Linked DNA regions of Notamacropus eugenii. The protein of the gene in region 2 interacts with the protein of the main gene of each other region in a biochemical or structural test. Links are inferred from orthologs where the notes say so. Each region holds a gene or a part of one and is shown on either strand. Other genes may lie near its edges. The genes, in order: NPPC, NPR2 and NPPA.

Region 1 (10,390 bases), on a different chromosome or scaffold from region 2:
GGAAGGTGTCCTGGAGAAAAGTATAGAGAAATCCATCAAGAGCCTTCATAGCTAATCCACGGGGACCACCCTGAGTTCCTCTACTGCAGTCCTTTGGCTGTGTCACACCATGTGAGTCACAGACTTAGAACTACGAAAGATCTTTTCATCTAACAAACTGAAGAAAGGGAGGCAGCTCTGGAGATGGAAGGGCCCACTCAGGACACTAAGCCCAACCTCCTCATTTTACAGAGGAGGAAACTGAGGTTAAGTGACTTCCCAAGATCACACAGTTTGTAAGTACCAGAGGCAGAGTTTGAACCCAGACCCTTTGATTCTAATTCGACTTCTTTTTCCATGGTGTCATTAAAGTTTACAAAATGCTTTTCTCACAACATCCCTTCTTTGTAGATGATGAAGCCAAGGCCTGTGCCCAAGGTCACTCAAGGTCACCTAGTGGGTGGGAAATCCTGAACTCTGTCCAGGAGCCAGGGCCTCTCCTATGACTAAGACTGAGCATACTCTGGTCCCTGCTTATGTAAGGTTCTGGGATTCCTGGACATGTTGGTCGGAACCCTTAGATGCTGCAAAGAAGTGAGGGTTAAGCAGTCACACAGCTAGGAATGGTCAGAAGTAGGACCCCCAAATCTTTCAGCCACGGTGGCTCACTGGTAACCAAGGCAGTTCTCATAAAAACAGATAAAATGTTAGTTCCTTGAGGTCAAGGACTGTTTTGCCTTTAAATTTTTTTTCCAATGAAGATCTAGACTTGCAAAGAGGGATAGGATCAAAGATTTCAAACTGAAAGGGACCTGAGAGGCTCTCTAGTCCAACCCCCCTCATTATACAGATGAGGAAACTGAGGACCACAGAGTTTAAGTGACTTGCCCAAGGTCACACACGCAGTAAGCATGAGCAGTGGGATTTGAATCCAGATCCTGTGGTTCTGTACTCTTTCCAGCTGTACCCTTCGGTTTCACTCAGGATTATCAGTCCAGAAATGATCAGAAAAGGAGGTGGGCAGATCATGTGATATGAGTGACAGGTGGACAGGCCAAGAGCTGCACTGATTGTCTTGAAATGCACAGAGACATAGGTGACCGTCACTGCTCACAGTTCTCTGAGTACTTTCAGGCAGATACAGCTCTTCCTTTACAACAACACCATGTGAGTCACAGACTTAGAACTACAAAGGATCATTCCCATTTTGCTGATGAAGAAATAAAGGCTTAGAGAGGTCAAAGGGACTGGGAATTTGTTCTCTCCATGCAGGCACCCAGCACATATTGCTAGGTTTGCTACAATGGAGGCAAAGAGCAAAATCTAAGAATGAGGTGGATGAGAAGGCCCAGACATTGGATGAGCTGGTTTCTCCTGAGACCCCAGACTTCTACACTCCTCTATGACAAATCCTGGGAGGGTGGAATGAGTGGATTCGGATGTTTGGGACAGTCAATTAGCATGAAGCACCTTTTGTATATCAGACTGGGAGTGAGGTGCCGCCTGAATACTGAAGAGCCAGTTATTTATTTCCATTTACCCATTTGTGAAAGGAAGAGAGTGGCAGATAATAAAGAGGAGAAAGCCGTTGTCTCCCCATCATTTCTGGGAGATCCCTACCAGGTCAGGGAGATGTCTGTGCATTTTTGCTGAAGTTGGGAGAAGGGATGAACAGCTGAATTCTAGAGCAGGTAGAAGGGGATGGGAGGGGTCTCACTCCGTCTTCCAGGTAGCTCTCCCATATTGGAAGCTACAGAGGAGCTTGAGCTGCCACTCTGTAGAGGGAAGGTGTTTCCAGACTGATGGGTTTGGATGCAGTCCAACCAATGAAGGAAGGAAGTAACGTTTACATCTAGTGGGATGGCTCATCTACTTGATTTGACTTCTCCTTAAGCTGGGATAGGGAAACCAGGCATTCCTCACCAGAGGTACGTAGGATGCATTAGCATCAGGACCTAGGAGAGGGGTCTTTGTTCCTGCTTAAAAAGAGGCTACGGTTGGTTGGTTTGTTTTCAATCCAACATCCTAGGGTGAATTCAGGTAGAAGATTCGAACAGTTCAAAGCCAAGGTTCCACACCCTTGGGCGCAGTGTCTTCTGCACAGGGCTCTCAGGAGCCATGACTTGCATGGGACAGACTATTTTTCTGTATACAGGTTATTTGAATTGTGAATACATATGTATATACACACACAGTTAATTGTTTATTTTGCAGTTAAAACAGGAGGGATGGAGTGCCTATTTGCTTTTGTGAAGAAGTATCTTCTTTATAAACATGGGACTTAAGAATACTTTCTCTCCACCCCTCCCCTCTCCCCACCCCATCCTGGTACAATTAATGGGCATCCTACCCCCTGGGACTCCAGCTGCAACAGATCCATGTTTTTTATTTCTCAGTGTACTCATCTTTGGCTTTGAAGTAGTATCCTCAACAGTCCCCCCTCCCTTATACATTTTTTGACCTCTCACCCAACAGGGATAACTGCCTTGTCTGCTCTTAAACAGAGAAAATGCAGGCTTCTGCTGCCTGGTGCCATCAGAGGAGACCCTTGCCTTTCAGGATTGTGGGCATGAAGCCCAGGCTATAACTGCCTTCCCTGAGCCATGTGCTGGCTCTTTGCCAAAGCTGGCTACAGCCATGGCATAGAGATCCCTCCCCTGCAGCTAAGGGATTATGGAGTGGTAGGGAATCATGGGAATATGGTACAGCTGTGCCTTTGGGATTGTTAGCCTCATTTTACAGAAGAGGTGGCTATCTTTAGGTATTGGAAGGCCCATCATGTGGAAAAAAGATTAGTCCTTTTTCCCCAGAGGGTAAAATGAGGAGGAAGGGATGGAATCTTTGAGTCAGGGGTTGGAATCTGACTTTCCTCCTTATTAGTTGTGCACCCTTAGTCAACTCTCTTTTCTCTGAGCCTCAGTATCCTCATCTGTAAAAGGGAGAAGTTGGACCAGATGATCTCCAAGGTAGCTTAAGGTCTTAGTGTGGTGCAGTGTAAGGAAGTCAGAAGTCCTGGGTTCAAATCCTGCCTCTGATGAATAATACCTGGGTGACCTTGGCCAAGTCTCTTCCCTTCCCTGTTCCTCAGTTTCCTCATCTATAACACGAGGGGGCTGGAGCACACAATCTATGAGGTCTCTTCCAGGTCTAACTTAGTGACCCAGAAACAGAGAAAGAGACACACTCCCAAGGGTCTGTACCCCAGTTCTCTTGCCATTGACTCATGACTCATCTAGTAGAAAAGAGTTTGGGATTTGGAATAGAAGGACCAGAATTCAAATCCTGACTGCAGTTAGGGTTCCTAGATTTAGATCTGACCCAACCCCTATTTTACAGATGGGGAAACAGACCCGTGAAGGCATGAAGTGCCAAAGGTCATGCAGGGCAGAGTCAGGGGATCTGAACCTGGATCTTCATACTCCCAATCAGCTCTATCCCTTTCACTTGCCACTTTGTGACCCTGGTTCGCTCTCTGGTCTCAGTTTCCTGATCTATAAAATGGGGGTCAGGGAGGCTGCTGGACAGGGAAGTTCTCTGACAGTTTCTAGATCTTGGACACTGAGACTCACGCAGGCACCTGCTCCAGGGCTCAGAGGAGGAGGGGTCCGAGAAACTCACCGCCGCCAGGGGTCGCCGCCTTAGCATCCCAGGCCGCTCATGGAGCCGATCCGGTCCAGCTTGAGGCCGAAGCAACCCTTGGACAAGGCCTTCTTGTTGACGCCTCTGAACTTGCGCGCGTTGGGGTAGTCGTGCAGAAGGCGCGCCCAAGCCGCCCTCGAGCGGGTGTCCACTCGCAGGTCGCGAAGTAGCCGCGCGTTGGAGCCCTTGGCATTGGCCCCACCGCCGCCCCCGCCGCCGCCCCCCGGCACCTTGTCTCCCTTCTTGTCCCCGCCGGCTGCAGCCAAGAGCCCCGCCAGCTCCTCTCCAGGCGGGGTCCGCGGGGGCTGTCGGGGGCAGGAGGGATGTAGACGTAGACCCCTTTTCCAAAGCACCCTCACTACCCCCTGCGCCGCAAGATCGCGGATTCTGCCCCGACCTGTGCCCCGACCCTTCTCCTTCTCGGGGAGCACCATCATTCACCTGCTGTGCCATCCAACGCCCCCGCCCTCTTTCCCTCCAAGTGACCCTCTGGTCTGGGGACTCTTGGGCACTTTGCCTGTGCCTCCCGCTCCTGGGCGCATCCTAAGTTTGGCCAGGTGCCCGTCCCTACTTCTGTCACCCGGGAAAGGGAAAAAGGGGGTTTCTTTCTTGTGAACTCCAAACCACCTCCCCTGGGCCCCGGGGATCCCGCGGGGCCGGCCGACTGTCTAAGTACTTCCCAGGGACCCGGGAAGGACTCTCCTTCTCCCCAGGCAAATCTGCCCCCCCTCCCCACCTCCTCTGCACCGGGGAGAGAGGGGCACCCACCTTCTGCGGCGCGGCTGGCTTGGCCTCGGGGCGAAGGGAGAGGAGCGTCAGAAGCAGCGTCCAGGCCAGCAGTTGCGAGGCGTGCATGGTGCTGGGGGATTCTGGGGCCCGCGCAGGGGTGCAGGGGTGCAAGGGCTGCGGAGAAGGATGGCTAGCCGGACTCCGAGCTGGCGGCGGGCGCTCGCAGCTGAGCGCAGCGCAGCGGGCGGAGAGCGGCGCTGCCCGAGCTGCCCAGCGCCGCGTTGCAGTGGAGTCGGAGTGCCGCGGGGGTGCCAAGTGGACTTGCGCTCGTTTGCGGCTGCTCAGCTGCGCCGGCTGGGAGCGCTCTGAACCCGGCTTCTCCCCTCAGTGCCTTTATAAGCCAAGCGGCCCACTGATGTCATCCCCCCGCCCACCCCGGCTGGCGGAGCCTGGGGCTCCCGCGGGCGCTCCCGACCAATGACAAGCCGAGGCTGCAGTCCCCAGGGCCTGGGAAGGGGGCCTGGGAGGGAAGTTAGGGGGAGCGGGTGAGGGGGGGATTCAGTGTTGCGCCCCGGGGGGAGTCTCGAGCCCAACTCCGCCCGATGACCGGGGCGCCAACAGGGCTCCTGCTGGGAGCTCTGGAGACTGACCAGAACTGGGGGGTAGGCTGCCTTGGGGTGCTGGAAGTTAGTGACCCGTCTCGCACCTGTTTGGGCGGGTTCTAGGGTCCAGTTTCTATCTGGTGAGGCAGGAGAAGGGAGGCTGTCCGATGGAAAGAGCTGGGGACTGAAAACCCGAAGCCCTTGACTTTAACCCTGGGTCTCGAGCTCCTTTCTTTCCCTGGATCTCAGACCTCGGTTTTCTTGTCACCTGCAGGAAGGCTCCTGAATGGGTGGGTGGGTGCGTGCGTATGAACATCAGTGCCCGGGGCTGGAGCTTGCACACCTCTGACCGTAACTCCACCAGGGGCCGCCACTGCTGGCTCCTCTCCAAGAAGAGATAGCTGGTCTCGGGGCTTGGTGCTGCCCACCGGCCCGGGCACTTTGGCACACTGAAGGAGAGCCAGCCCTTTGGCCCCACGGGGGGTGGGATGGGGTTATCCACGCCGAGCGCAAGTGCGCACAGGAGTGGGTCAGTCCGGTGATGGGTGGGCTGTTTCGCGGAGCCTGCCGCTGTTCGATTCTGGCCAGGTGGCCTCTTACCACTCCGCACTCCCGAGGAGAAAGGACAGGCGTGGACTCTGGGCACTCCCGTCTCCTCTGCCCGCCTCCTCTTCTTCTAAGACACATTTAATAAGTGGTGTTTGCATTGCGCTCAAAGGCTTAACCCACGAGATTTCATTTGAACCAGACAGGAGGCGGGCGCTACAGGTGTTATTTCCCTGATTTTACACTTGAGGAGACTGTGACCTGGAATGTAGTCGTCAGCCAGTCAGTAAGGGAAGCAGTCTGGTATGGTGGGAAGCACCTGGGTTCAAATCCCACCTAAGATACCTTAGGCATGGTACTCAATGTCCCTGTGCCCCAGTTTCCTCAACTGTTTAACGAGCGAGCTGGCTCTTAGGGGCCGAGTCCCACGCCACTCCTGCGTTGCCCCTCGGACTACACGCCAAGATAGGAAGGCCGGGACCTGTCCTGTGCCTCACCCGGGGCTGTGAGCTCGGAGCGGGTGGCGGGGGCTTCCTTGCGCACCTCAAACATACTAGAACTCGCTCGCCAGGCTCTTCTGGTTGGAGTCGAGAAAAGAGTCAAGTGGAAAAGGAGGGAACTAGCGCTTAGCATTCCCTCCCTCCACCCAGGAAAGAGAGGGTCCCCAGAAGATGCAGAAGACGGCTGAAGAGGAGGACGAGAGATCCTAGATTGCTGCTGGGTACTTCCTTTGAGGGATACCCCTAGATACTTCCCTTGGCCTCCGTGAAGCCCCTTCAGTAGACGGGGTGGGGGGGGGAGATCTTGGTGCCCCCATCCTCCCACTAGGGATCTCCCCTGAAAATTCCAGGCGCCCTAGGGTCCTATCGGGAGAGGCAGGAGGCTTGTGGGGCTCATTTCAGAGGGGCGCGGGAGGAAATCCCATAAATTTCACTGGAATTGACGGGGCGTGGTTGGGGTTGAGGACCGACTGGACGAGCATCGGGGAGGGATGCCCTCTCGCACCCCACCCATCTCGTTTTACTGAGGTGCTCTGCCTGGGCCAGATGCGCGGTTCCAAGGGCACGGTCGGGGGGCTTCCAGCTTCCAGCTGCTTCCCCAGGGTCGCCCTCTCCCCTGCAGCTCGAGTGTTCGCTGATTCACCCCTTTTCCTTTGGCTCCAGCCTCTCCCGGGATGGTGGCTTCTTTTCCCTCCTGCTCTCTCCTTCCCTCTCCAAACCTTAAGAGCAAGGGGATCCAGAGGGTCGGAGACTCGCCCAGATTTCCTCTTCTCTTGGAGCTGCGAACAACTGGGGGGCCTCGCTTCGCTTCGGCTTTGCCCTTAGGGCACTCAGAACTCGAGTGAGAGCTCCGGGACCCTGATGCCAGACGGCCTCCTCATTTTAAAGAGAAAGAAACTGAGGCCGAGGGAGGAATAACTTGCCCGGAGTAACACAGATACTAAGTGTCTGAGGTGAGATTTGTATGCTGGTTTCCCTGTCCGGTGCCCTAACCATTATACTATACTGCCTCCCCTTTTTAAAAAAATGGTGATCTGTATGATGACCACTAAGATGACTGAGTTTTTTTGTCTGGGTTCTGTAGTGAATTACTTTATAGTTTGGGACTAAATAACCTCTCTGTGCCTCAGTATCCCCAAAAGTATAACGGAGAATTCTTCATGTTCTGACATTATCTTGTAGAATTGATGAAAGGTCAAAATTGGAACTGTATCTAAAAAAGCTACAGAAATACACACACACACATACACACACACACACATTTCCCCATTGGAGAGAAGACCTCCACAGACCCAAAGTTGAATTCTGTTTCTACCTAATCCAGGGGTGGGGAACCTTCAGCCTCGAGGCCACATGTCGCCCTCCAGATCCTCAAGTCAAAGGGCTGAACTAGAGGACCTAGAGGGCCACATGTGTACCCCATCACTAGGAACCTCTTATGTGGATTTCTCTGACCACATTTAATCTCTCTTCATGCCCTGACCCAAGGCTTCCCCTGAGGACATCCGAAAAATACACTTTGTGTCTGTGTCTCTACAGAAAAAGAAAAGAGAAAGAAAAAGAAAAAAGTCTCACCTTCGCATGCAATTTGTTTCATATATGAAATACAGGCTGAGTTTTATTTAATCCAACAGAAAAGACACAACTGATCTCCTAAACAGTCCAGGCTTCTTCCTTTTCAGAGAGTATAAAAGCAATCCTTTCGATGGGCCAAGCATCATCCTGGGTGGTGGGATACAATGAGGAAATCATGTCAGCCTCTGCTCTCAGGGAGCTCACATTTTATCAGGGCAGAGGACCCAGCTACAGAACAGATGGCACTTCCCCCTCCCCCAGTCCTGAGGGCGCAGCAGCAAGGCAGATGATAAGATATCTTCTTGAGTGCCATTTCCACTGATAAAAAATCTGTTTCTGATTTGACGGTGCCAAAGATTTGGGGGGCAGGAACTTGTTTTGTGGGACTTTGGCTGACCCAGCTGCTGTTTGGGTTGGGGGGGGTGCAAGGATGCAGCACCTGCAGACACTGGGCTCCTGTTTTCTCAAGGGTTATTGGATGATGGCTGTGGAGGCCTGCTGGTGGTCTGGAGGTGGGGAAGTGCTACTATGCCCAAGGTGCTGGGCTACTTAAACTGAGGCATGAAGGCAGGTGGATGACGCCCCTTCAAGTAACCGGAGTCTGTGTATCCTACAGGTTTCTCTCTACCTGTCTTAACTGGTTCTCTCTAGATTGACAAAGAGATTTTCCTGAAACACGTCTGTCCAGTCCCTCCACTACTCAATAAACTCCAATGGCTCCCCATTACCTCTATGGTCAAATGCAGACTCTTCTGTTGGGCATTTAAGAACCTTTGCAGCTTGTCTCTAGCCTACCTTTCTAGCCTTGTGCCTACTCCACTCTTAACACTCAGTGGTCCAGTCAAACTGACCTCTTTCTGCCTCTCAGGTACTCTCCACATCATCTCTGGTCTCCTTGCCTAGAATATTTGACGTCAGGGTGTCTTGAGTGACCTTCTATATGAAACCTTTCCTGATCCCTCTTCCCTAATTTTGCATGTGCCTATAACCTACCTTTACAACCTTTTCACAATAAAATGTGGCTGAGGACAGGGACTGGTTTTTTTGGGGGGATCCACACCTATGTCTGGCATACAGTAGGAGTTTAAAGAAATATTTGCTGATTGATTCTCTCTAGATGTCCCTTCTAAAGGCTCAGTCTGAGGGTGTAGCCCAAGTATTCTGGAACGGAATCAAATCAGTCAGTGGTGTACTGCAAAGAACTGTATTTGGAGACAAAGGTCCTGGGTTTGAATTTTGGCTCTACCTGTATAACTTTGGGCAGGTCTAAACCTCTGTTTTCTCATCTGGAAGAGAGGACTTCTGAGGTCCTAATTCCAACTCTATAACCCAGGTTGAATACATTTCGTGGGCCTGCATTCCTTAAACTATAACGCATGAGCCCCCCTCATGTGTTTCCCTCCAGCAGTCAACCAAGTGGAAAAATGAGCACAAAGAAATTTCCTGAAAGTGTACAGCAATCAAAATAGGTACAGAACATCTCCCCCTTAAACTGGGGGTATACTTCCATAAAGTCAATGGGAAGAGAGGACAACACATAGAATATACTAGTAGAGATGCACAGTCACTAGATTATGTATATAGCCAAGGCAATGCATACACCTTCTGCGACCTTTGGTGACATCTGTATGCTGCTCCTTATTGGGCACTATATCTCTAGTGCTCAGGTTCAGCTGAAATCCTGGCCTAAAGTATTGGTAGGGAGAAACTGGAGCCCATACTCTGGGACCCACCGGGGTCTCAGCTCTGGCTTGGACCACATCCCAAGTAGGATCCACACACAAGGTGTCCACCTCTCAGCTCCTTTCTCTCCATGATCTGATTTGAGCAGGGTCAGCTCCTCTACTCTGAGACTTTCTATCTGTCCAGTTCTCTATTTCTCCAGTTTGTGAGTGGGAGGAGGGGACCAACCTCATCATGTTTGACAATCTGCATCCATTTCATGGGTTCCTAGGTCTAGAGTTAGGAGGGACCTCAGAGGCTACCTAAGTTAACTCCCTCATTTTATATTTGAGGAAACTGAGACCCGGGGAAATGAAATGACTTATTTGTCTAAGGTCACACAGGCAAAAGGAAGGAAGAAGGAAAGAAATATTTATTAAGGGCCTTCAGTGTGCCAGGTCCTTTACAACTATTTTTTCATTTGATTTTCACAACAATCCTTTGAGGTAGGGGCTATTTTATCCCCATTTTAGGGTTGAAGAAACTGAGGCAGAGATTAAGTAACTTGCCCAGGGGCACACAGCTAGGAAGTGTCTGGGGCTTGATTTTTGATTCCAGGTCCAGTGCTCTACTTCTGGTACCATCAGCTTGCCTTCGAAGCAGGCAGAGAAGCCAGCTTCCAATCCAGGTTCCACGGTTCCAAAGTCAGCCCATTCCTGACTTTACCTCATTGCCTCCCTGACCTTTTCATGTGCATGTGGGTCATTCAAAGTTTCAGGCTTTGCAGGCTGAAGATTCTGGGAAAGCTTCCCATCCATTGCTTTTTGCTGGTCTCTGGAAACTACCACCTGATGAGTCCAGCTGCTCTCTTCTCCCTGTCCTGGGGCCCCTTTTCACTGCCTACCTCAGATGGTCCCCAACCCCTTTCTCCTGTGCAGGCAGATGATGTCATTATTTATTCTTTCACTTTTTTTTTTTAATTTAGAGACTAAAAAGGGGAAAAGCTTTCTCATTTTCAGCAAACTTCTCTCTCCTACAGTGAATGATCAATGTAATTATTTAGCACCTACTGTGTGCCAGGCTCTCTGCTAGGCACTGGGGAGACAGCTCAAGACCAATAGAACCACACCCTCTGAGATCTTCACTTCTATATCGAGA
Region 2 (10,692 bases):
GTTTCTGTTTGAGTTTGATATAACTGTCGTAAAGCTTAGTAGCGTTTTGTTTCATTCATATATCGTCATTTGTTGAGCCGTGCCCCAACCCTCACAGTTTCCAGTTCTTTGCTGCAAAAAGAGCTGCTCCAAATATTTTTGTGTGTATGTATCCTTTTCCTTTCTCTTTGATCTTGTTTGAGTAGCAGGCCTAGTAGTAGTATCACTGGGTATAAATGGGCCTTAACATGAAGATTCTAAAATTTCTTCTTGGACTTTATCAAAATAGCTTAAAATCTAAAATTTAAATGTGCATGTTGATTACATTGTTGCTGTCCTCTATTGAGCCCCATACCATGGGTAAGTTTCTATGTTCCTCTTGTTAAAATGTATCACCACTTCTGGCGGTAGAACTTGCCTGGATCAGATGCTCTGTGGGCCTAGAGGAGCCCTAACAATTTACAACTTTTAATGTCCAACCAGAGAATGTAATTAGATCAAACAAAGGCATTTACTGAAATGACACCCTAAGAGTAGTAGATATAAAACACTGCATAAACCTAGAGCATACTCTCCCATAAAATGGGGACCCCAGAAAGTTCCCTTGTAGAGCAGCACACATATGGAGGAGTCATATGGCATAGGAAACTTACACCGCCAGATCTCAGGTTCAACAACCTTGTTCTCTTGTGATGTCTTCAGGATCTTCCTCCTGGGCACAGTGTCTGTACTCTAGAGATCAGCTCAGTTCTCTGGACCTGAACTTCTCTGGATCTTGATTCATCACAGAAAAGATAACTTTTTCAGGCTTATGTCTTGACTTTTGCCCTCGGTGTAGGGTATGTTGTTTTTTAAAGTACTCTTTCATTTCATTGTGGTTGATGCAATAACTTCTTCACGCCTTGTCGAGGGGTAACACTTCTTTACAATTCATGTAATTCCTTAATATCTTGTTATCTCTGTCACCTGCTCCCTATAGTCTATAATTTTGCCAGATGGGGAGGGGAGGATCCATCTGTTGGGGTGTCCTAGTCAGATTTCTCCCACTGCAAAGGAATTAGCTACTTTCAACAAATTGATTGCAGCGTATTTTCAGCTGTAGGTGATAGGAGTGGAGTCACATTTCCATTCCAGCTTTTTGTCTGATGTATAAAGAGCCAAATGTTTCTAAGACACTTTTAACAATGGCAAACAACAGCATTTCTAGTACTTTAAGTTTTGCAAAGCACTTTACAACAGTCTTGGGAGGTATGGGCTATTAGTGCCCCCATAATTGAGGCAGACAGAGGTTAAGAAACTTGCCAGGGTCATACAGCTCCTAATTGTCTGAAGTCAGAGTTGAACTTCACAGTTAGGAAGGCTCCAAGGTTAGCACTCTATCTTGTACCATCTAGTTGCCTTAATAGGAAGATGATAAATTTTAGGTTTTTAGAGCCAGAAAATCATATATTCCAACTTTAGAAATCATAAATTCTGATCCCTTCATTTTATGAGACCTGATGAGTTTAAGTGACTTGCCCCAAAGTCACATTAGATAGTAAATAGAACTGGCATTCAAATCTAGATCACTGATTTCAAGGGCAGGTCAAGGCTTTTTCTATTACATGATTTCCATGAACCTGCCTTTTAGGATCTCAAAGAAGAATGGATCCTACTCATGTGGTACAAGAACAGAAAAGACATTGTCCCGTTTCATGTAGTTCACTGTTCTGTTCTTGAAAATGCTGAGATATTCTTCATGGCAGAAACAGTTGGTGGCCTCCAAGAGTGGCCTCAGGGTATGTTTAGTTAAATCACCCATAGCTTTTTCACCTTTCGTGTATCTGTCATTTACAGGCTTATAGAAGCCTTTTGTCTATCTTGAATGTTTATGGTTTCATTTTGTACAGCTTCCATAAAGGTACTGGCTATGGCATAAAGAATATTTTATTGTAGTCCGCATTTGTTGAATTGTTTTTTTAGGCCTAGGTGTAGGGGGCGTGGCTGAAATTTGGGTTTGCCTGGTTTCTAGGGATGCTGAAGATGTTCCCGATCACCTCTGCTGACATTTCTCAAACTCCAACACTAGGAGCTGAAAACTGGAGGCCCCACTTCCCTGGAATACCCTTTTGTGAAGCAGGCCTTTCTGAACCCTCAGATAGACCTTTTAGAACACATTACCAGGCAAGTAATTTGGGAGCCAGAGTTTGCTTTTAAAATGTTTTTGAATAATTTTAAATGTTTGGACGATTGTAGAAATTCATTAGCTTAAAAATATGTTAATGCAAGCTAAAATCCCTTAGCATATGGATTAGATTTTACAGATTTGATAAATCAATTCCCACTTTGCTGAGAGGAGGCTGTTTAAAACTAAGGAAATTACTTACACTGAATGCTTCAGTCCGTGTCCACCTTCCTGGTCCAGGGCTTAGTAGCCATTTGTCTTTTGAATTCAATAAAATTATGGCAGTTCTGTTGGCAGGCCCTCAGCCCTAAGGTTTAAATGAAGTTGGTCTGGTCATGGGAGTCTGTCTTACAATATACCTCATCGCCTACAGGGTGACCCTGCCCTTTGGGAATATGTGTGTGTATGTGGGCGTGGGGCACAGTAGTGGCCTCATGGTCTGGGATTATGGGAATCTTTGCCTACCACCCTGGCTCTGGCTAAAAGATGAGATGATCTATGAAAAAAATTTTAAATGAATTCCAACTTATTTTCACAAACCTTTTTGCTTCCTTACCTCTATTCCCTATCTTTTCTCCATATTGAAAAGCATTATTTTGAAATACACCTTATTGGTTTCTCTTATTTCTCAAAGCTCTTCTGTGTCCTTTGTGGCAGGTTCTCTTGGTGTTGTGTCCCATCTGATGTGAAGAAAGAACATCCCAAATGTTCTGATTTGGCATAGACCTGGCAACGTGAGACAGGTGACTGGCATGGGGAGGGAGTACTTATTGCCCTGAAATCTTGGAGGCCCCAGAGGAGGTTATGTTCCTCTTGTCTAAAGCAAACCTGAGAATTCAAAATTCATCTCTGTCTGGGACATTAGGTTAGTTTTAAGATACTTCTGGAGAGTACTGGGGATCAGACTTTGGAGGTCTGGGTTTGGGGTTTACTTTATATTAGTATGAACTTGAACCCTGCTGGTTTTCCTAGAATTCAATTCCTTTGGGTTGTGTCATTCTTGTGGAATTAAGAGTGGTTCCAAACCACACTACCCTCTAGGACCCTGTCTTTCCCTCAGTGTATCTCTGTAACAGACATTCCACATACTTGGATCCAGACCTAGGAATCCAGCCTCTGTCTAGGCTGGACCTTCACAGGGGACTAGAAAGTTAAGGAATATATATGTGGGATAACAGAAGCCACTTGGACCTGTAAGGGTCCTGAAAGCACTCAGGCTTTGCAAAGATTACAGTGAGCTCACCGTATAACTAAAGTTGAATTACCTGAAGCTGGAATTTCAGTCCTCTAGATAGATGATAAGAATAAATTTCAGTGACAGGAATCAGAAGTATAGAAAAGATTTATATCAGGAGCATAAAATAGAATTTGTTCACCAGATTTAAAGCTGTAAGGGACTTTGAAATAATCTAGTCTAATTCCCTCATTTTACAGATGAAGAAATGATTCCAGAGGAGGTTAGTGACCTGTCCATATAGGTTGTTGTTGCTCGTCCTTCGTTCTCAAAGAGGACCCTGGCATCAGGGAGGTGATACCATGACTTATGAGTGAATTGGATTTAAGTGAGGCAGGGCTGTGGAGAGTCACCAGCCTCGCTCTCTCCTCTGGAGCTGTCTGTGGCCAGCGGTCAAATATAAATCAGACCCCTGGTGCAGTGGGCTCCATACATAGCCAAGATGAGATTCTGATTCAAGTTCTCTGACACAAAATGCATTGGTTTTTGTTACATTCAGAAAATTAGCTAACTCCTGTTTCTTCTGGTAGGTTTGTAGGCAGTTATGTGACTCTGGAGTGTCTAGAACCTGTCACTCTTGGCATTAGATTGTACTCTCCTGGATAGCCGGGACTGTTGTTTTGGACAGGTACAATATCTGGCACAAAATGTTGTTTATGAATGCTTAATAAATGTTATTTGCTTAATCTCTGACTATAGTTATGTTTATCTCAATCTGTTTCTTTCCCTCTGGGCTCTCTCCTCCTTTTTCGCTGTCATTCAAGATGAGATGGATTTATTTTTACCTCACTGATTGAGTGCTGATACAGCTCATATGGTTTTGGATTTAGATAACTGTACACCAGATTTGTCATATACCTTTCTTACATTCCCCAGTCCATTGCCTGGTTGGTCGTCAATAAATAACTTAGAATTATTGAATTGAATTTTTCCTGGATTTCCACATTGAAGCCACCAGATGTCGCCTTAATTTCAGAGAAACTGTGTGCTGTCTGCCTGGGAGCTCTCTCCCCAGGGCAGTGACATCTGTTTAACTGTGGCTGGAAGGGGTAAAAATATCAGAGGCAAAAAATCGTAAGATGTGCAACTAGGGCTAGCTGAGGGGCCCTGAGGTTTGGCCTGATTTTGGCCAGTATTCACTTTAGTCGGAAGAAAGTGAGTTTTTCATCTCTAGTTTTTCTCTTCTGAAAAAGGAATTCTTCAAGGTCTCATTTATATTCCCTCCTAGCAGTCATGATGCAATTCATGATATGATAAGCTGTTCTTCAGGGATAGAGCAGGACCCCCAGAAGGGAATTAGACTTACAGGGGGTAAAGAAAGGAGTGGTGGTTCAAAGAGGGAGCACAAAACTGGAAATGAAGACTTTGGGGCCCAGTTCAGCTGTCAAGGACTTGTTGAAGACTTGTTATATTCTATCTTTTACTTAGTTCTGGTTCAACCAAAAGAAATACCTTTCTGGCCTTGGGTTGAACTAAATTTTCATGGTTGTAAGAAAGTCTGCTTAGTCAGCAAAGATAGATTAAGTGCCTGTGCTGCTGAGCACCGTGGGGCAGTGCACCAACCAATCAGCAAGACAAAGGAACAGATACAATATAGTAGTACCTGGAGAGGATCATGTTCAGGGACCATCCAGTGCAATTGGTCGTTTGGCAAATAAAGAAACTGAGGCAGAGGGCGGCTCACTGGCTGGTGGCCAGATAGGTGGTGAGCCCTAGAAGAGGAATATGGCTCTTCCTACCGGCCCACCCTGCCGCTGTACTGCTCCTTTCCCTAGATGAAGTAGTATGGCATGGGTTTGGAAACTGCAAAGACAAGAGAGGAAAGATGGAGCTCACAAGCCTTTGTAGCATAGTAGGGAGATAAGAATCCCACTGAGGTTTGTTGGGAAGCTGAGGGGCCTGTAGGGACCTGGAGATACAGAAAGGAGTGAAAGGGAAGGCCTCGGAAGAGCAGCAGAATATCACCAGAAAGCCTTCTAGGAACGCATGTTACCAGCCAGCCCCTCAAAATAGGGTGTCCTGCAGAAGTAAAACGATGAAGGGTTTAGTGGGCCTTTGGGGTTCTGGGTCGCCTTTTAGAGAAATGGACTTAAAGGGGACTCTGAGCAGACAGACTATTCGGAGGGGGCCCCGGGAAAGTGGGCTCGGGAGAAATGCTTCGGAGAGATTTGGGGGCAGCCAGGCCATTCCGGGTGAGGGGGCCGGACACCCCGTGTGCGGGTCCCCCGTGTGCGGGTGCCCCGAGGGTGCCGGGTCCCCCGAGGGCGGCAGGTCCCCCGTGTGCGGGTCCCCCGAGGGCGGCAGGTCTCCCATGTGTGGGTCCCCCGAGGGTGCCGGGTCCCCCAAGGGTGCCGGGTCCCCCAGGGGCGCCGGGTTCCCCGAGGGCGGCGGGTCCCCCAGGGGCGCCGGGTTCCCCGAGGGCGGCGGGTCCCCCAGGGGTGCCGGGTCTCCCGGGGGCGCCGAGCTGCGGGAGGCCAGCCCCAGTGGGAGGCGGCGGGCGCCGCTTCGGGAGGGTGGGGCCCGAGGGGGAGGAGGAGGGGCTGCCGGGGCGGGGGCGGGGGCAGGGGCCGCGGGAGGGAGGCGCCGGGAGGGGGCGGGCGGCCTGCCCCGGGAGTCGCACTCGGCCGCCACCGGCGCAGCAAGCGGAGACGGGCCCGGGCCGGGCCGGGCGGAGCTGGCCGAGTACACGGGGCCCCGGGGGCCCGGACGGCAGGAAGCGGCGGCCAGCGAAGGCCGGGCCACGGGAGAAGCCGAGCGCCACGGAGCCGAGCCGGGCCACGGGCGGGGCCGCAGCCTGAGACCGGACCAGCGCCCTGGTCCGCTAGGTCAGCCCCCTCGGGAGAAGCCTTTCCCGGAGATTCCCCCTCCGCTTCCTTCCTCCCGGCCCTCCTGCCCCCACATGGACACCCCTGTGCCTCCTCCCTGCCCCTCCCCTTCTCCCCTTCCACCGGGAGGGCGAGCCCCCCGTGCCCCAGCCCCAGCCCCAGGCCCCCAGGCCCAGGCCCCCGCAGCCCTAGCTCTGGCCCCATCTCCACCCCAGACCCCTTTCTGCTCCTGGGCTTCCCTCAGCATTAGACCTCTTTTTCTTCAGCCTCAGGCCCCTCTGATCTCCTCCTTTCGTAGGCCCCCCCATGCCCCTCACCCCAGGCCCTCTATTCCACCATAGCTTCAGGGCATCTCATCCCCAACTCCATCCTTACTTTCCCTCCTGGTCCTTTTCTCTAGCTTCCTATTTCTCTTCTATTTTTGTGCCTAAGCTGTCCCAGCTTCAGTCTCCCCAGCCATCTCCTAGCCCCTACCCTAGCCTTGTTCCTTGAGGTCTCAGGCTGGGGTTTGTGTCTTTCCCTTATAGGCCGAAAGGGACTTCAGAGTTCTGAGGCTGTGGGGCAGTTGCCTTCTCCTCATGGCGCTGCCCCCAATCCTGTTGATGCTGGCAGCTTTGGTGGGTGGGGCACGCCCCCCTGAGCCCCGGAATCTAACCCTGGCAGTGGTGCTACCTGAACACAACTTAAGCTATGCCTGGGCTTGGCCACGGGTGGGCCCTGCTGTGACACTGGCCATGGAAGCCCTGGGGAGAGCATTGCCAGTGGACCTGCACTTTGTCAGCTCTGAGATGGATGGCGCTTGCTCCGAGTACCTGGCGCCTTTGAATGCTGTGGATTTGAAGCTATACAATGACCCTGACCTTCTTCTGGGTCCTGGCTGTGTGTACCCTGCTGCTTCTGTGGCACGTTTTGCCTCACACTGGCGGCTGCCCCTGTTGACTGCAGGTGCTGTGGCCTCAGGCTTTGCGGCCAAGAGTGAGCACTACAGAACACTGGTTCGCACTGGGCCCTCTGCCCCTAAACTGGGCGAGTTTGTGGTGACATTGCATGGGCACTTCAACTGGAGTGCCCGTGCTGCTTTGCTGTATCTGGATGCCCGCACTGATGACCGGCCCCATTATTTCACAATTGAAGGGGTCTTTGAGGCCCTGCAAGGCAACAATCTCAGTGTGCAGCACCAGGTGTATACCCGGGAACCAGGTGGTCCTGAGCAGGCTACACACTTCATCCGGGCCAATGGGCGCAGTGAGTGTAGCTTGGGCTTTCACTTGGGGTTGTATGTAGCTAGAGATAGGCATCTCAGGGGTACGTGGAGGCAAAGTGGAGATTTCAGGAACTTGTTAGTAAAGATTGATACTGAGGAGTCATGTGGACAGCTTTAAGATGGATATGGACAGAAATGGGGTTTGTGAGGGGGAGAAGTGATTATGAAGGGAAGCATCTGGCCATTGTGGTTGGAAGACTAAGGGATATTGTGAAGATGTAAGTAACAGGAGCATGTGGGAATAGTGTGTGAGAGGCTTAGTTGTAGGGAGGAGTGGGGGTATTGAGCTCCATGAGGTTTTGTGGTATTGTCGGAGGTATAGAATGTTGGAAATGAAATTATCCTGTAGTTGTGGATATGATGGTCTAAACTCCAAAGGATACTCCTCCTCTATTTCCAGATGCCTTTTGCTGTATTTAAAATCCTTTTCAAACTAATGTCCTTTGCTTAGGGTGCAATAAGTTGGGTTAAAGTTGAGTGTGTTTGGTTGGCAAAGCCAGTCGGGATTTAAACTTAAAGTTTCTAAGCTCGTGACCCCTAAATTGCACTTTTCCTTCCACCCCTCTTCTCCTTCCCAACCCTCCTCCCATCAGAAGCAGAATGGGGGAACTGAGGAAGTGAAGACTAGGAGGAAGTGGGAATGTGAGAGAGAGGGGCTGGGGATAGGGAGAACATACATCCCTTCCTCCCTCTGGAGGTCAAGCTATGACTTATGCCAGATGTTCCTTATGGCCCCAGGGTACTTTCAACACACTCCTGGGGAAAGAGATGTATGTTCTGGAGACTTAAATGGATTTAGGCTCTCACTTTTCTGCTGAAGGGAATACAGAGAATAGAAAGCTTGCAAGCCCAGGGGAAAGGGCTACTTTGGAGTTGCTGGATGCACTTTCTAAGGGTACTCCATTTTTAAATACCTGCCCTCAGTTGTGTACATTTGTGGCCCCCTGGAGATGCTGCATGAGATCCTGCTTCAGGCCCAGAGAGAAAACCTAACCAACGGAGACTACGTTTTCTTCTACTTGGATGTCTTTGGGGAGAGCCTCCGTGCCAGCCCCACCCGCCTCCGAGGTCGGCCCTGGCAAGACAATCGAACTGGAGAGCAGACCCAGGCCCTCAGGGAGGCCTTTCAGGTAACATGGATGGAAGCTGGAGTAGGGGTAGGTGGAATGTCAGCTGTGGAAAGAGGAAAAGGGAGAGAAGTGTTTCCTGGTAAATTGCTCCCTTCTTCCCCCACCCTATGGCATTCCCAGAGCCAGAGTATGAATTTTATAAAGAAAATGATCCATCCATTTCCTTTAAGTCATTTTCCTGTGACTTTTTATTACTGTGTATGGCAAGGTTCTTAAGATCCTGGCCTGCTCTTTCTTTTGCAACAAATCAAGTTTGTACTGAACACCTACTATGTGCCCAGTTGTGTGTTGGACTTCTGTGGAGAAAATGAAGGGGAAAAAGACACATTCCCTGCCCTTGGGATCTTATTTCCTACTTGGGAAACAAAGTGTACATAGGACAGTTAGCTACTGATGAGGCAGTCTAAGATACTGTGCCAAAACATTTGGTATAGCACTCGCTTTTGGAGTTGAAATGAAGCAGAATTTTGTATGGGCAGAGGTCTCAGCGAAGGCCTCATGATGAAATGAGATTTAAGTTTGGCTTTCAAGGTGGGTCATAAAGATAGAATGGGCTCAGGGATAGAAGCTAGGGAAGATGTGGATAGCATGAGCAAACACAGAGAGGTTAGACATACAGCATATTACGTGGGGAACAGTGAAGAGATTACCTTGACCAAGGAGGGTTTATTGTGGTGAGTGATGTGAAATAAGGTTATATAAGTAAAGTCAGATCATGGAAGGCTTTGAATGCAAGGCTAAAGAGTCTGGACTTTATTTGTAGTAGGGCAGATTCATGGCAAGTTTTTGAGGAGGTGAGTGACATGATCAGAGTTATCTTTAGGAAAATAATTCTGTCAATGGCATTGGGGGTAGATATGAGAGGGAACCACCTGAGTGAGAGACACCAGCCTAGAAGAGGCTATTGCATTGTTCAAACCTCAGGTCATAAGGGTGAGGAGAGTGGTTATGGAAAGGAAGGATTGAATGCAAGACAATATTTTGTCAGATAAATCTCCAGGACTTAGTCATTGGTTGGATATTGGAGAGATGGAAAATCAGCCATAGCCTTGAAGATTTGAGTGTGGAGAGAATTGGAGTACTATTAATAGAAATAGAAAAGGTTTTAGGGGGAGATAGTTTTGGAAGGGAAGATGACAAGTTTGATTGTCGAAGTACTGATTTTAAGATAAAAGCAAGACACCAAAATAAAAATGCCTAATAGGCAGCTCTGTGACTGGGGCTCAGGTGGGAAGGGGAGGGTTGTAAGGACTAGAGTTGGAAATCTGGGAATCATACTCAGAAGTAAGAGTTACCTGCTCTCTTGTTTTTCTCAGCCCAGCCCACCTCTTTTCTCCCTGTTGGCAACATTTCTTTCCCACTGCTCTGTGTTGCTCTGTAAAGCACTTGTACTTTTCAAGTGTGGCTTTGATGAAGGCTTTTGTAAGCCTCTCCTGCTTTTGGAGGTTTATATTCTAAAGTAATCAGACAAAAGCTGGAAGGAAAGGAGAGAGACACATTTTTGAAAGAAGAGGTAACAACTTGAGGTGGAAAAATGTGGAGGATCTTAGACCTATTCCATCTGTCCTGAGAGGACCTAAGGAAACTCATGGAAGCAGGAAAAAAAATATATCTGGAAGATAGGGGAAGTAGGAATGATGGCAATGTGGATGGCAATTGGGCATGAGAAGGAAGAAATCAAGTGAGGAAATAGTGTATGAGAGAACATAGAATGGGGTGGAGCAGAAGTGAGAACAGAGGAAGACAAGATTTGGAACACTAAAGTATAGCTGTGTGCCTCTCTCAGAATGGCAAAATGCCTGTAAAATGAATTTCTGTCCAGACCTTTTGAGATTATTTGTAGTAGCTAGGTGGTATAGTGAATGGAGTCCTAGACTGGAAGCCAGAAAGACCTCCATTCTCTTCCTGCCTCAGACACTTTGTAGCTTTGTGAGTCTGGACAAGTTACTTCTGCTTTCTCAGCCTCAGTTTACTTATTGATCAGGGAGGAAATAAACACCTCACAGGATTGAGAGAGTGAGAATCAGATGAGATAATGCAGGCAAAATGCTTTGTATACCCTTAAAGCTAAGGTTTGTTCATGGAGAAATACAGAC
Region 3 (9,903 bases), on a different chromosome or scaffold from region 2:
ACATAAGTCAGAACAACTGTAAATGGCCCCAGATGCAGTGGGAGACCTTGGCCTTTTAAGCTAAGGTCTTTCCCAGGTGTCAGTTTGTCTGAGGCAATGCCCATTCAGTGATTAAAGGCTAAGAAAAATTGAGGTAAAAGGTAGCCTAATTTGCCTTTGCAAAAGAAACAGTCAGATGAAGTGGGATTCTATAGACCTGCTACTACTGTCCCAGGAGCTCTCCTCAGGGTGAACTCTTATTTGGAGATTAGTTTGTGTCAATTTAGAGAGGCCAGCCTCTTAGTCTCATTCCTAAAATTTTATAGTATCTGGCTACTTCCAGCTTCTTCCTACTGAGACAGTGAAGTCTGGGACATACTGATGACTGAATTTCTTATGACACCAAGATTTTATTTGTCTCAGAATATCCTATAGTGTATTTGCAAATGTGTCCCAGTTGGCCAGCCCCTATGTCTACTGCCTTTTGTGTTAGGAACCTCAAAGAATCTAATTGCCTTTCTGTAGCCAAAAGGGCTTAGGAATTTCCCCCATACATCCTTCTGAAAAACAAAAGACATGAGAAAGGTAGACAGGGATTAGGGGGTGTAGATGTATTTCATTATTCTCTATGAGTGTACACTAGGATTCATTCTGGCAGACATGATTACAAAAGTATGTGTATGAATTTTAAGATTAATATATTTGTTCTCTTGTTGGTATCAGAAAAACTGGATGAATTATCATGAGGGAGGTTATGGCCTTCAGAACCAACAGCCTCTGAAACTAAGATGAAAAACCCAGAAGAGCAAAGAACATGAGGAGATAGTAGAATAGACCTAGAAAGGACATTAGGGATCACAGCACCTAACCACTTCATTTCATAGAGAACACTTTGTCACTTCCCCAAGGTCAAGGAAGTAATCATCTGGCTGACTCCTTAGGTATATGTATGCCCAAATCATCCATGACAAGGATGGAAAGCCCACCACCTCTCACTAGCTATTCAAGGATTTTATTACACTGAAGTTCTTCCTTTCAGATGAGATCTTTTTCTACTTTTTGCCAAAGTGATGTGGTTCTTTTCTCAGTTGGGTAGCATTATCGCTGGGAAGTGGTAAGCTTCTAGATAATTCTAGTTAGTGTTCTATTCAATAATGAGTTTGAAAGGGCCATGCTCCTGACAAGAGCCCCTGTTTTTGGCTCTCAGTCATAAGTGCTCATCATGTTCAACCTGCTGTTCGTGATGAAGTGGATAGGATAGCTCACATCCCCTGTCCCGTCTTTGTCTTCCATCCAACACGGAGACTAATGGCTACTGCATTTCCTTATCCTTTTTTTTCTCCAAATTTCCGTACTTACTGAGAACAAGGCTGTTAACCCATGTCTCCAGCCAATGTCTGCTGCCTGAGAAATGCCTGCTATTTTACAAGGACACTTGTTAGAGCCTAATAATTCAGGCCTCTAGCTCTCTCATGAAGATGGAATGGTGATTATATTTTAAAGTTTAGATGTTAAAATCCAGGAGGTTAGTAAGCCTTTTTAAAACCTCATTTACACTTAGTAAATGTTTTTATTCTTCTATTCTTCCTTCAATTCTAGTTCTATCTAGTAACCAAAAATAGTGCCAAACCAGACCAACCCCAGCAGTCAGCTCTCAGAATTGCCTCATTAGAAACATGTGCCCCAAAACTTGTATGTCAAAAAATGATGAGGAATTGCATGGGAAAAGAAAAAACCATACAATGTTAGATATGAACTACATTAGCCTCGAGAAAACTTCACTCGAATCGGTCTAAATAAATAGCCATTATGGCTTTTCTTTGCCTCCGCAGATATGATGAGAGGTGACTCTCTGGCTAAGTGATTTTTAAAAAAAAGAAAGAAAGAAAGAAAATTTTGCAGGCAGTATAATAGTCGGAATAGACCTGAATTCCCCCACTGTTTCCCTGTAGGAAACAAAGAATCACACCAGCCCGCGGCTGTTTCTGTCCATGGTGCTGAAGTTTATTCATTCTTGAACTGCTTAGAATTTAAACTCAGATCTAATGAATGGACAAAAACCGCCATAACGCCATCACACCATCACACCATTTTGTCTACATTCAAAATTACATTTGTGAAACAGCAAAAGAAAGCTGTAGCTTGAACCAGGAGCACAAAGCCCAGTTTGCTAATAACAAATGGACAAAATAGAGCCAAAGTCCCAAAGGATTTGATCTGACAGGGTCCAGCACGTGTTTTCCTCTTTGTACATTATCTTCAGAACTACAAAGAGAAGACAAACATATTTGGTTAGCAATATCCCAGCTAGATGACCTAGAGAAGGTAACATGAGATTGGAATGGATAGCAGGTATAAAATGGACAAAAAACACCCTTTATCCTTGATCTCTTAAACCACTCTTCCTTAGCATATTAAAGTGGATCCTCTGGGCTTCCAGAACTAGCAGACAGTTCAGACCATAAAGGGTAATTAAAGAAATCCTTATGTATTCTATTTTATTCTAGACTTTGGTGACTCTGGAAAAGAGTGAAGCTGATGACTTTGTGCAACTCTGCCTCACTTAAATCCACTTCACAAGCAAGTCAAGAGGTCAACCATCATCCACTATTTTACCTTATTATTTGCTTCATTTACATCATAATGTCATTGACCCTCTTCAAAAATGAAGGACCACCACCACCACCAACTCATTCTATTTGACCCTTTAATTTTATAACTCTAGAAAGGAAAATAAATGAAAGCCCCTCACATTATAAAACAATCTGGTCCTATGGAAGTTTTAATTCTCTAATACATCTGGTGATACCCCCTTGGAGAATCAAGCATTACTGTTACAGTTTTGTAGTTACAGATAGTCCCAAAGGCAAGAATGATATATTTCAAAGGGAGATATGTATCTAGTCCCTGCACCTGCTGAGGATTTCACTTGGTAGTGAACCCCTCTACCTCTGCTTGAATTTTAGCATAGCATATGTCTCTTTTCTCCCTAACCCATTTCCAGATCTCCTTACCCTAAAACTGTTGCAGCCAAGTCCACTTTGGGCTCCTATTCTATCAATCCTGCCCCCAAAGCAGCTGGAGGACCTCCTCAGACTACGAGGGGAAGTCAAGAGTGCCCGAAGCTTATTCTTCAGGAGGGCAGATCTCTCAGATTGCTCCCAAGTGCCCCGGTTGAAGTTTCCCTCCCGCTGGGCTGGGCTGACTTCCCCACTCCAGGAAGAGAGGGAGCTAAGTGCTTCCCCAGCCTCCTCATTCTGCTCATTAAGTCCTTGTGAGGCCATGACCTCATCTTCTAAAGGTATCTTGTCCTCCAGGCGGTCCAACAAATTCTAAAAAATCAAAAAGGGAACAAAGAGAGGAGTTTATGAGTTCATTACATTGGGGAGTAGTGACCAAAAAATCAAAACCGTACCAAAATACCACCCCTGGTTTCTATTGTCCCTGACAAGTCTCTCTCTGGTCCTACCTTGAAATCCACCAGGTCATTATTGGACACAGGACTGGCTTTGGTTCGACCTTGAAGCTGCAGGGTCAAAAGGAGGAGAATGCTGATGGAGATGGTAGTGAAGGAGCCCATGCTGTGATTGGTCGTCAATATCAGTCAGTCAAATGCTTGCTGTCTCTTCTGTCTCCTCTTCGCTCTTGGTCTTCTGACCCTGTTGTCTTATGCCTCCCAGTCTGCCTCTTTGTCTTTTTATATCCCCCTCCAGCACCCTGAGACCGCCCAAGGGATGTACCCCTCCCCATTCTGTCACTTGCAGTGATAAAGGACTGGAGTGAGCCAACAGAAGATGTCCTTTTAAAGTTATCAGTCCAGTGCAGACTGTCACAACCTCATTGTAGAGGTGGCTTCTGCACTTCAACGGTTGTCACAGCCTCAGGAACCCTAGGCTGCAAGAGTCACATTCTTGTTGATTTGGCTCAAGAGGTTTCACACTTTAAAGGTGTGAGAGGAACCAAAAAAATCCTTGATTATCTCACAAAGATGCCTCAGGATTCTTTGCTTCCTTGCCGTGGAAACAATTTAGGGAAACAGGATGGCTGGCCAGTACCCATCTCTCCCCAAGCTTGTTACATGAATGCTAGGGAGGTCCAAATAAGGACAAGAAAGAAGGAAATTACAGGCAACTTTCAACCTAGAGAAAGAGTTCAAGCTGACACAGACAAGCCTGGATGCTTGGGACAATTTTATACTCTTTCTTACTTAATTCAGATTCTTTCTCCTGCATGTGAGTTCCCAACTGTGGCTATGGTTCCAAGCAGCTGGGTAGAGCAGAGGTGAGTTGTTGTTTTTTCTCATAAAGACTGTGAAGTCAGCACCAAGGATAGAATGTGAGAAACACCCCATGGGAGAAACATCCTAATCATTCTGCTCCCACATATCAACACCAGAGAATATTTTCCTGAAGTCAATATCCCCCACTCACCACCCACAATACATACCCTTACTCTTCCATCACTTTTCCCTCTTGTAAGGTGTTGATAGAAATGATTATGAACCTAGAAAAAGCCACCATCATCATTCCATTGCCATGTGGTATCCTAGAAGCTATTAAATCAAAAGTCTGAAACTTGTATTGAGTTCTAGCCTTGCCAGAAAAAAAAAAAAAAGTCAATGGGGTGGGCCAATGTGGAGAGCCCTTTGTGGCACATACTAGTCTCCTAGATCTTTCTCTACCTCACATCAGTTGGTGCAGGCAAGTGACAGACATTTGGACCCCCATTTCTCAGTCAAAAACTAACAAGGTTCAATCAATATGAAATTTTTACAAACTGTTTAGCACTGTACTAGACATTAGCACTTCCTAGGCTTATAGATTTAGAGTGGAAAAAAGCATTAAAAGTTAGTGAGTCCACTATGTTCATTTTATAGATTAGAAAACTGAGGCAGACAGGTGAAGTGACTTGCTCAGGGTCACACAGCTAGTAAGTGTCTGAAGTAGGATCTGAACCCAGGTGTTTCTGACTCCAAGTCCACCGTACCATGATACATCTTTAATTCAGTAGTCACTTATTAATTACCTACAGTGAGCAAAGCAAGTGTATTTAAGGAAGAATACTAATTGGGAGGGATAACTTACAAGAAATGTGTTTAGGACACTTGATTGAGATTTGAGAATCCAGAACCTTTTACCCAGCAGCCCAAATCACAGAATCTCAGAGTTGGAAGAGACATCAGAGACCATCTAGTCTAACCCACACAGTGCCCCTCCTTTCAGGAAGCTTTCCTTGACTGATATGAGCCATGGTCTAAAATTAGCCATCATCAGTCCTTCTGTCACTCTTGCAATGGCTGCCTACCTTTGTGGGGTCTTTCCTACCTTCTTCTATTAGACTGTAAACCTCCTGAGGGGAGGTTTTGTGTAGTCGTTATGTACTCATTCATCCTAGGGGCAGCTAAGTGGTGCAGTGGATAGAGCACCAGTGCAGGAGTCAGAAAGACTTGAGTTCAAATCTCACCTCAGACACTTGACACTCACTGTGTGACCTTGGGCAAATCACTTAACCCCAATTTTCTCCTCCTGGGTCATCTCCAGTCATCCTGATTCAGGTGGCTCTGGAGGAAAAGTGAGGCTGGTGACCTGCACAGCCCTCCCTCTCTCAAAAAAGAAAAAAGACAAAGTGAAGTGCAAGTCATGTCATTATTTCTCTGATGGCATGGTCTTCTTTGACAACAAAGGACAAACACACATGTACAAACACACCTAGCACATTGTTATATGCTTCATGGATGGTCTAAAAACATGTTAACTGATAGACCTTGTACTTAATCCTAGTTTTTGGTTAGATTTGGAGAAATTCTCCATGGTGCTAATTTGTTTATAAAATGAAGAACTGATCCTGTTCCATCCCTGCTTCTCATGGAACACCATGACCAGGTCAGTTAGGTATTGTGAGCTTGTTTGTATTGTGGAGTCACAAAATCTGACATTTACAAAGGATTTTAGAGGCCAGCTAATCTCACTCATATCTGAATAAAAGAAACCTTCACTTGCATGATCTCTGCAAAGCCATCCTCTAGATTCCAGTTGAAGACTTGAAGCCGTTCATTCCATTTTCAAACAACTCTAATTGTCATGAAGTTTTTCCTGGCATCAAACCTAAAGTTGCCTCACTTCAGCTTTCAGCCATATTTCCTGGTTCTGCTCTTGGGAGCAAGACTAATCCCTCAAATGCCAGAAGATAATTGTCATGTCTTCCTGAGTTTTATTCCCTCATCCAGGCTAAATATCCCAATTTTCTTCATGAAATCTAATATTTTTCTAATAAAGATTGAATTGCATTGCTATAATCCTCAGTAAAATTACTTGACCAGTGGGTTTCAGGGCTTTGGAAGATGATGATGAAGAGGAGGAAGATAACTGGCATTTGTGTGATGCTTTAAGGTTTGCAAAGTGTTCTACATGTTATTTAATTTGATCCACACAAAAACCTGAGAAGTATGTGCTATTATTATTCCCATTTTATAGACGATGTATCTGAAACAGAGAAAGTGAAGTGACTTGCCCAGTGACCCACTTGAATTCAGGTCTTCCTGACTCCAAGTCCAACACTCAATCCACCTAGATCCCCATTGATGAAGAATACAATATTGAGCCATTTTCAGTTGGAATTTGGTAGGCCAAAGACAACATTCTCCTAATGATGCTGCATGATTCAAGTCATAAGTGCATGTCAGGTTATTTTTAGTAAGGCTAGTTTGACAAGAAGCTGTGTTTCCGAGAAGTAATTCTTTCTAAGCATGTCAGCCTGCCCTGTCCTTGCCCTTCTGAGACAGCCCTCTGATGTGGGTGTTATCTTGGCAAATGGCATACCAGAAATGACATAGGGCAGTCTCTTCTTTCCACCCTCCCTTCCCTGACCCCTCCCCCTCTCCAGCTGCTTTTGCAGGCATCTTGGGGTAAAAGCAGAAGTCACTGTCCAAGGTTCCAGATTATTCAGAATCTATTTTCTTTTTCCTGAAGACTTCTTTCCTCTCTGAGAGCTAGTATATGGAAAGACAATAAAACTTGATGGGATTTTTGGATTAAGATCTGGAATAGACCTTAGGTATTATCTCATCTAATTCCAAAATTTTTCAGATGGGGAAACAAATAGCTTGTCTTGCATCGTTACCATGAATATTGATTTAAAGCCCACCTGTCAACTGTTTATTAGCAGAAGAGGCAGGGAAATCACAGATAATCAAGATCCATATACAATCCCCTCTCCACACACTCCAGTTACACTGGGCTCACTGGGCTTCCTATGTCTCAAACACACCTCTGTGGTTACTCCTTTTCCTGGCTGTGTCTGGAAGATGCCCACTTCATCTCAGTCCTACTCATCCTTCCAGAAGAACTTCAAACACCATCCCCTCCCTGAACCCTTCCTTCTTTCCCCAAACTCAAGCCATAAAGATACTTGGATCTCTCCAAGTACTTTGTGCCTCTTAAGGACTTACCAAATTCTCCCATTCACCATAGTTATTTGCACATTTGCTATATCTCTCCCCAAAATAACTACCATTTATTTAATTGTGCTTACAACTTACATAGTCCTTTATATATTTTATCACATTTGATCCTCACAATAATATTTGGCAGTCAGTGCTGGGTGACCTCACTTAAACTTTGACTGCCTTAATTGTATAATGATAGCATTTACCTCCTAGAGTTATTGTGAGGATCAAATGAAATATTTGCAAATTACTTAGCACAGTGTCTGGCTCTTAGGAGGTATATGATAAATGCTAGATTCTGGCCTGTCTTCCTTCTTGACTCTAAGTTCAGAATGAAGGATTTAGAATTTCATTTTCCCATTAGCTTTAACCTCCTCCCCCTACCCATCAATTTTTCTTCTGGGGCTTCCAACCAGGAGAATTGTGTGACTTGACTTTCCATTCCTTTCCTCGCCTTTTCTCAACGTTGTATGGTATATTAATGACCAATGAGATTTTCAAGAAGCCATGTTGTAAGAAGGAGAGGGAGAGATTGCAAAAAGGTTTGGACATCAGCCTTTTCTTTCCCTTCTGGCATCTGAATAGAAAAATATTAGCCGTATTTTTATGCCCTGGAACAAAGGAGGTCATTTGCTGCAGAGATGAGTTGGAGGGCAGATCTTACTGATTCAGTGCTTTCTTGCCTTCTTTGGAGTTGCTCTTAGCTCCTCCTTAGGAGCAACTGTTATCATAGTAAATGTCATCGATATCACACACATATGGAAATCAACTGAGAAAAGTCCATGTCCCTACAGCACTTTGTAGTTTACAAAATGCTTCTTGATCTTCAATTGTGTGAAGAGCCGACATGTGGAGCAGAAAGTAGATATATCTTGGTCCTGAGGACAGAACCAGGCATGGAGCTGCAGAGAAAGGGGGCTGGGTTTGTTAGAAGAGTTTGTTGTCATCATAATAAGAACTATCAAAAAAGGGGGAGTTTGCCTGGGGGAGGGGTAAACTCTATCTCAATAGAAGTCTTTGAATAAAAGTTGGATAACCACTTACTTGTCAGGAATGTTGTAGGGCTGGAAGAGACCTCAGAGGCCAATGGGTCCAACTCCTCATTTTATAATTGAGGAAATTCAGTCATCTAGAGAGTAAATGATTTGCCCAAGGCCATACAGGCTGGATTTGAACCCAGTCCTCAGACTCATTTTACAGAATAGGCATGTATTAGACTAGATGGCATATGAGAATCCTCTGAATTCTATGTGTTTTTATGACTATTCATTGAAATGAACAGGGGAAGTGTTACTTTCTCCACTTTATGGGTGAGAAAATTGAGGTCCAGAGTAGTAAGTCTAAAGCTTGAATTGAGAACTTTATCCACACCTGATGTCTCTAACTCTAGTGCTATTTCCTCCATACCCTCATTGTCTCCCATTGGTATGTGGCGTCCCCTACAGGACTAAGGAAGAAATTACTGTGCTTTGCCCACAGTAAGCACTTGATGAATGTTAATGAATGCTGTGGTCTATGTGGAGAATGGAGGGAGATGGACAAAGCCTCTTTGTTGAGAATTCTGGGGCTACATACATTTCTTTCCCCCTCACACACACTTCTTTGGTGAAATGGGAAGGCAGCTACAGCAGAGAACAGAGAATCATGAGCCAAGGATGGGTCAGCTCTAGAAGGTTTGAGACTTTCAACATCTTTTTCCCATCTCTCAACTACCCACACTGAGAGTACTCTGCCATCCAAGCCTGGGTTTCTCCAATACCCCATTAAAAAAGGGCTTTATTCCCTTATCTGGTCCCTTCATTTTGCCAAAACTTATCCAAGATATACTTATTCTTCCAATGAAATCTACCTTGAACCTGATGTGTTTGGGGGGGTTGGAAGAGTAGGGCCTGCCTGAAGTGGGGGTTGAATAAAGTTACATAAGTAGCTAGCTAGTTAGCATTTATATAGTGTTTAAAGGTTTGCAAAGCTCTTCATTCTGGGAGGTAGGTGTTATTTTTATCCCCATTGTACGGATAAGAAAACTAAAGCAGATAGAGGATAAGTGAATAGCTCAGGGTCACACAGCTAGTAAGTTTATCTGAGCTTGAATTTGACTTAGGTCTCCACTTCACATTCAGTGGCTACTAAGTGATAAGTAGGGTGGGTCTGGATTATAGAGAAAACTACTCATATAACTTTAGGTAAATCTCATCTCTCTGGCCTTAGTTTCTTCTGTAAAATTAGGAGGTTGGACTCCAAGAGCTCTGAGAGCCCTTTCAGTTCTAATGCTATAAGCAATGAAAGAGTCTCTTAGAACTTGATCGTAAATGCACACACGATTGGTTCTTGAGCAAGAGAATGACATAAGAGTTAGCCCTGAAAGGAACCTTATTCCTCTCCCCCCCCCCCCCTTTTTTACACATGAGGAAACTGAAGTCTAGTGGTGAAATGACTTACCAGATCACCATGCTGGCAAGAAGAACTTAGGCCATTAAGGA

Evidence for each region.
Region 1: the proteins of NPR2 (region 2) and NPPC form a complex in vitro, tested with the Homo sapiens proteins (3 studies listed by BioGRID). The link is inferred for Notamacropus eugenii from reciprocal best matches to the Homo sapiens genes NPR2 and NPPC.
Region 3: the proteins of NPR2 (region 2) and NPPA form a complex in vitro, tested with the Homo sapiens proteins (3 studies listed by BioGRID). The link is inferred for Notamacropus eugenii from reciprocal best matches to the Homo sapiens genes NPR2 and NPPA.

The regions. Positions count from the first base shown.
Region 1 is NC_092873.1:58,222,612-58,233,001, reverse strand, and holds the start of NPPC (C-type natriuretic peptide), read right to left. Parts: upstream 5,282-10,390; 5' UTR 4,474-5,281; coding exon 4,387-4,473; intron 3,924-4,386; coding exon 3,618-3,923; 3' UTR 3,598-3,617; intron 1-3,597.
Region 2 is NC_092872.1:79,356,883-79,367,574, forward strand, and holds the start of NPR2 (atrial natriuretic peptide receptor 2), read left to right. Parts: upstream 1-5,976; 5' UTR 5,977-6,202; intron 6,203-6,729; 5' UTR 6,730-6,780; coding exon 6,781-7,447; intron 7,448-8,390; coding exon 8,391-8,596; intron 8,597-10,692. UniProt on the Homo sapiens protein: Receptor for the C-type natriuretic peptide NPPC/CNP hormone. Has guanylate cyclase activity upon binding of its ligand. May play a role in the regulation of skeletal growth.
Region 3 is NC_092876.1:51,273,755-51,283,657, forward strand, and holds NPPA (natriuretic peptides A), read right to left. Parts: upstream 3,657-9,903; 5' UTR 3,560-3,656; coding exon 3,449-3,559; intron 3,312-3,448; coding exon 2,994-3,311; intron 2,776-2,993; exon of another isoform or gene 2,547-2,775; coding exon of another isoform or gene 2,487-2,546; intron 2,245-2,486; coding exon 2,239-2,244; 3' UTR 1,962-2,238; downstream 1-1,961.